Saccharomyces cerevisiae S288C: one gene and its partner. The gene in region 1 interacts genetically with each later gene. Each region holds a gene or a part of one and is shown on either strand. Other genes may lie near its edges.

What was found. A genetic interaction does not mean that the proteins touch.
Region 2: mutations in YJR098C (region 1) and YOR008C-A together harm fitness more than expected from each alone (negative genetic interaction), as found in Saccharomyces cerevisiae (one large-scale study listed by BioGRID).

What each region holds. Positions count from the first base shown.
Region 1 is NC_001142.9:612,956-616,718, reverse strand, and holds YJR098C (uncharacterized protein), read left to right. Parts: upstream 1-1,562; coding exon 1,563-3,533; downstream 3,534-3,763. Other genes in the region: AIM25 (Aim25p), read left to right, coding at 1-368; ubiquitin-specific protease YUH1, read right to left, coding at 433-1,143.
Region 2 is NC_001147.6:342,224-345,111, reverse strand, and holds YOR008C-A (uncharacterized protein), read left to right. Parts: upstream 1-2,030; coding exon 2,031-2,255; downstream 2,256-2,888. Other genes in the region: TIR4 (Tir4p), read right to left, coding at 1-777; SLG1 (Slg1p), read left to right, coding at 2,698-2,888.

The DNA.
Region 1 (3,763 bases):
AATTATTCCAGAAAGATGGAGTAGAAGGATCCACTTTTGACCAATTTGGTAAGATAGATGCACCTTTCTTATCATTTGATTTTCCTGTAACAGATGCTGATGGTAAGATAATGGCGAGTGTAGACAGAAATTGGGTTGGTTTAGGAAGAGAAATGTTTACCGATACTGGTGTTTATGTTGTTAGATTTGATTCGCAGAGATGCTTTGATAATATTTATCCTACTGAGATGCTAAGTTCTCAAGTACTAACTTTGGATCAAAGGGCCGTGTTATTAGCAAACGCTGTGTCCATCGATTTCGATTATTTTTCGAGACATTCCAGACAAACTGGAGGTTTCCTTTCTTTTGGCGGTGGCTATGATGAGTAGGTGAATTATATATTTAAAAGAATTCTGTAAATACATATTTGACTACGCAGTAATAAAACAATTATTATTCCCAATTAGGGCCCAATCCTAGCATAGCAAAGTTTAATACATCTTCTTCATTTGCATTTTCCATATATGAGGCGACTCTCACTCTAACTAATTCCTGTTCAATCAAATCGGTGGCAGTTGGGTCACTCTTTCCCAAATAGAGGGGTCCGCTCAAATTCCTTCCATCCAGTTCAAATATCCCTCCGTTCTCTTCCACATATGTGATATAGTGTAGATTAGTATCTGCAGTTGCTTCTGGTGCTTCTGACTGGCCAGTAGAAAATGTTTGTACATTCTCTTTTATTACATTCAAGACGAATTGGTCGGTAGTAACATCATCAAACCTATTCTTCGAGCTTGAAGTATCACTTTGAGATTTTAAAAAATTGTCCAAGTCGGAGCCGGGCTCCAACAATGACTGGTTATTGCTCAAAGAATGAAGAATTGCATACAATCCGCACGCATTTTTGACTGATTGCTTAAACCATATAACATCATAAGAACTTGTAATTTGTTGACTGGTACTCGATTTTCTATCCTCGTTTATCGGAAATAGCAGCACAATGGCCTTCACTGGCCTTGGTAAGAATGCTAGTAACTCTGGCTCTGTTAAGCTATAGATATCGAAATACGCCCATTCATTTTTTAAACCTAATTTATGTGCAAAATTTGTAAAAACTTCAGGGTTTGATTCAATCGGCACCACAGCACGATTTTCTCCGCTCATACTTTTGCTATTGTATTTTTATAACGATTGTTACTTACTTGTTGATCAAAATACCCTTAATATCTCTTAAGTATGGACTTCCACCTTTATAGTCGACTAAATAAAAATACTTCTACTGAGGAAGTTTAAAACACGGAAAAATTGTTCCAGATCATTATCTGCACTGGTTTTTGGGGCGTTGATAGGCATGTTCACACTTCCTAACTCGACCACAGACATCTCCAAGAATACAAGGTACTTCAATCCGGGTAATAAAACGTCAGGAAGTTTTGAGAAGTTAATAGCTCATCACTGCATTCTCAAAAAATGCTTACAACTCTATGACGCCCTTAAAAAGAAAGGACTGGGTAAGAATAGCCTGCCTATTTTGGTGATACGTAAAAGAATCAACTTGTAGAGGTTAACTGGGGAGTATTACAATGATGGCAACTCCGGCTACTGATCTTATTTCCGATAATGATAAATATAACAAGCAATGTCTTTCTGATTCAAGTGATAGTGGTAGTGATGTAAGCTTTTTTTCCGTAAATGAAAGCGAAGGTGAATTGGATACAATGGAGAAAGTGGATACCTTGATTGGAGGTGCAAGAGTTATAAGCAATAAAGTAGAAAAAGACAGCGATAGTGAACAAAGGGGAAGAAAGAAGGAAACAACTGGGCCCAATAACTATCATAATTTAGAAGAGAAGCAAGCGAGTGCCATTTCTCTTGACGCTGATGATGAAGATCTCGATGAAATTATTTCTTATTCGCATGACGGGAACTATGACAGCTCTCATAAAACTTTCTCCTTTTCCTTACCATTTGGTAATACAAATTTCCGATCAAGTTCACCATTAGCCATAATTAAAACTGTGCTTCCCAAGACTCCAGATGAGTTCATCAAAAAGAATCTAAGAAAGAATGAGATCAAGCAAAAACTGAAAAAATCAACCTCCATTTCTTCCTTGGAAGAGATAGAATTATTTAAATACGAAAGGGGCATTGATAATTCAAGGTTAAGGGCTGTTAAAGAATCTTTGGAAATGGATGCCTTGAAGAACTCCATTAAGCAAATAACAGCAGACCCATTCGACAAAACTCATGACGGATATTACCGTTCGCGTTTAGAATCTATATGGAATGAATTGGAAGGAGATGTCGTTATAATGGGTGGATATCGAGGTAGTGTGCTAAGGGATGCTACTACTCATAAGCGAATTTGGATCCCATTAAAGGCAGGTTTGAATATGACGAAAGTCGATTTATTGATCGGACCTAATGACGAAGATGAACTTAAAACTCAGAAGGAGATTGTCCCTGATGGAATGCTAACACATATAGGGCCTGTTGATATCTCTAAGAGGTTGATAAAGAGGCTAGACGCAAATCCTAATTTAAATGTTCAGCAGTTTGGCTATGATTGGAGATTATCCTTGGACATATCTGCCAAGCATTTAACGACTAAACTAGAGGAAATTTACAATAAGCAAAAAAATAAGAAGGGAATATACATCATTGCCCATTCAATGGGCGGATTGGTCGCACATAAAGTGTTGCAAGACTGTACTCATTTGATAAGAGGTATTATTTACGTGGGTTCCCCAAGCCAATGTCCAAATATTTTAGGTCCTATTAGGTTTGGAGATGATGTGATGTGGAATAAAACTATTTTCACTAAAGAAACCAACTTTTTTATGAGAAGTAGTTTCTATTTTCTACCGTTAGATGGTAGATGTTTTGTTGACAAAATTACCTTAGAGAGGTATGATTTCGATTTTTTTGATACAGATGTTTGGAAAACCCTTGGCTTGTCACCTCTCGTCAATGAGAAAAGAGAGGAATCAGCTCACGAAAAATCAAAATTATTACCAAGGAAAACGAAATCAGCGCTTTCGCTTAAAGCTACCCTAAACGCAACTACCAAGTTTGTCCTAAATGCACCTGTTGTTAGGAATGTAGCCGGCAATAATAAACAGGTACCAAGGGATGTGCCTTTCGATGAAGTCTTCCATACATCTTATGAAGATAGCTGTGAATATTTAGCGAGAACTTTAAAACGTACAAAGAATTATTTGGATAGCTTAGATTACGACCCGAACAAAGAATATCCTCCATTGGCCATGGTTTACGGTAACAAGGTTCCCACTGTTAGAGGTGCTAAAGTGAACGGTATACAAGATATAAAAGATGGGAATTATGAAGATTTTTACTATGGTCCGGGCGACGGTGTTGTTCACCATAAATGGTTATTGCCTGAACAGAGAGGCTTTCCAGTTGTTTGTAAAATCGCCAGTTCTTCAGGTCATGTTAGCTTAATGACGGATTTGAAATCAATGGCAAAAGCATTCATATCTATCGTCGACAGCGAAAAAGAAGGAAGAAGATCTCGAACACGAACTTCTTCATGAAAGGCTTTTTATTCCTTTGTTTACTATTCATATCTGCATTTTTCTTTTTACCAAAATTCCGCATGTCAAAAAAAATCTGGCAACGCACCGCGAATAAAAATAAATAATATTTTTTTATCTTTAGTTGCCTAAATACTATTTATTTCGTCAATTTTACAACCTCTTTTATATACACCATTCGATTTCCCACGAAGTAAAATAATAATTCTATAAACAGATTTATCTGATAT
Region 2 (2,888 bases), on another chromosome or scaffold:
GGAAGAGCTGACAACTTCACTTGAGGATGGCGCAACAGAGGAGCTGGCAACTTCACTTGAGGATGAAGCAACGGAAGAGCTGACAACTTCACTTGAGGATGGTGCAACGGAAGAGCTGACAACTTCACTTGAGGATGGCGCAACAGAGGAGCTGGCAACTTCACTTGAGGATGAAGCAACGGAAGAGCTGACAACTTCACTTGAGGATGGCGCAACAGAGGAGCTGGCAACTTCACTTGAGGATGAAGCAACGGAAGAGCTGACAACTTCACTTGAGGATGGTGCAACGGAAGAGCTGACAACTTCACTTGAGGATGGTGCAACGGAAGAGCTGACAACTTCACTTGAGGATGGTGCAACAGAAGAGCTAGTGGATGAAGCAATAGAAGAGCTAGCAACTTCACTTGAAGATGTGGCAGCAGAACTTGAGGTAGTTAGAGAAGCATCCATTGCTTCTAATTCTGGAAGCAGTCTAGAAGAGTACCATGGGACCATAGTCAACATATGCTCAACAGCAGAAAAGTCCACTTCAGAGTACAAAGTGGTGTAGGAGTCATCACTTGGATTTGCAACCAATTGCGCAGCAATATCCATAATACCAGCTGGCATTTGGTCCAAGGAAAAACCTGAATTTGGAGTGTAGGATAGGGTGATGTAGTCGGCAATGTTGGTCTTAACATCATCTAAAACAACGTTCAATTCGTTGATTTGTGCTTGGGTTTGAGCGTAAGCAATAGCAGCAAGAGCGGCTAGTAATGTGATTTTAGAGTAAGCCATATTTTTTATGGTATTAATAAGCGAGTGAATAGGTTTTTGTTGCTGGTTTCTATCAGAACAAGAGTAGGGAACGAGATAAGTAAACGGGCTAAAAACTGATCTGTCCTAGCGATCCTTCCCTTTTTATATTCGAAAGCTTGGGATCATATCTTACTGCGTGGAAAACAAAGAATTTGCATCCTCCCTTTTGGACTATCCTACTTGTTAGAAATGCATCGTTTAGGAACCCTGTTCTATTATTTTCCGTCATTTTTTGAGAATTTCCATTCCTTCTAAAAGTGGCAGATGGGTTGTTACGAGATTTTTACTGATAATTCGCGCGCAGCGTCGCCTCTCCGCGAGTTTCAGTGTAAGCTATTGTTGAAAAGTACTTCGTTTGCCTTTTTAAGTTGCCTTTGGTTGCCATTGTTGTATCTTCAGGGTTTTCTTCGGATCACATCAGCTGTGAGAGTACGGTTAAGTTTGGAAGTCACAACTCGATTATGCCAGTTCGTAAGTGAGCACTAGATGACCTTGCTTTCCCCGTACGAGCCGGTTACGGTAGCAACTTTTGTTTTCCTTGCGCGGAGTGTATGCCTATTCTGATCTTTAAATTTCCTGAAGTGTCTGTCGTGCGCCGTAAACGAATTATTACACACACACGAATCTGGGAAACCGTGAACCCCATACATTGTCTTTTTTTTTTCACAGTCCCTTATCAGTACCGTTTGGCTAACAAAAGCATAAAATATTGTTCGTTCAGATGACCCCTTCAGTACACCGCGTTTACAGTTTCAAAGTTCCTTTTAGAATAGCACCCTGTTCGCCGGCGGATAATTTGCACGCCGTATGAAGGAAGAACATATAAAAACGCAAAATATGAGGCATAAACAATCACAATATCCTCACCTTAGAAGTTAGCCGTAGCGGTTTTCTTGCGCGTGCTTGTTTCTTTTCTTAGTTCTAAGCTTCAGCAAACCCATCCACAATCTTTCTTCAAGAACTTTATCGTGTCTACTTCATAACAACCTGCTAAACAGATTGTGAAATCGTTCCTGCTCAAGCAAGTAGTTTATGATAAATCGTCTTGTAATAGCTCGGCAAAACAACATCATATATGAAAGTGTTTCAAGTTTTTTGCCTAGTAGCAGACTGGAAATTCCACCACCTCTCTTCCAGACTTCGGTTTACATAAGAACTTAATGGTGTGTAATTTTTTTACATACTTCTGGAAGCAGATATCATCGGCCCCCAAAGTCGCCTTCTGCAAAATAATGTGGAGATCTTATCTTGTTTTTCTCTTCTTTATGACACCAAGGATACAAACATATTGTCCTGTACCGGTACTAAGGTCAATGGCAGTATTAAATATTATCTCTCCGCTTATAATTTTTGTCAGTCCTATTAAAAAGCAAGACAGTTTACACAGCAGCGCTTGTTACGCAAATTTGACGTTAGTGGAAAAGCTGCAACTTTGGCATTCTATGTCAAACGATTAGTAATATAGTTGACTACTTTCGTAGAATTCCTTCCTCAAGAAAAATTTTCTCCGCCTTTCCTCTCTGAAGATGGAAATAACGCTGCATGGGGAAGAAAATAATGTAATTTTCGAAGCGAAAGCGAGAGAAACGGAGGGGAAAAATAAAAGTGTTTGGCGTATCATAGCCTCATTTGGAAGAATTTAACGCAGTGTAGTTTTCTTGGACGATACAGTAAACTCGACCAGGCACTAACATTACAGAAAATCTCGTATTGATATTGTTATTGCTTAAAGGGTAATCAAGGTAAACAAGAAAGAAGCTCCTCGTTGTCCGTAAATTTTTTAATAAGGAGAGAGAAAAAGAGAGATAACCAAGAGGAGAAAAAGGAATCTGCATCACATTTATTCAGGATAGTACGTTGGCTGATTTAGTACTCAGGATAAAAAATTCTATTTAAATAATGAGACCGAACAAAACAAGTCTGCTTCTGGCGTTATTATCCATTTTATCGCAAGCGAACGCCTATGAATACGTGAATTGTTTTAGCTCACTACCCTCTGACTTTTCAAAGGCCGATTCATATAACTGGCAGTCGAGTTCACACTGTAACAGTGAGTGTAGCGCAAAAGGTGCAAGCTACTTTGCCCTTTA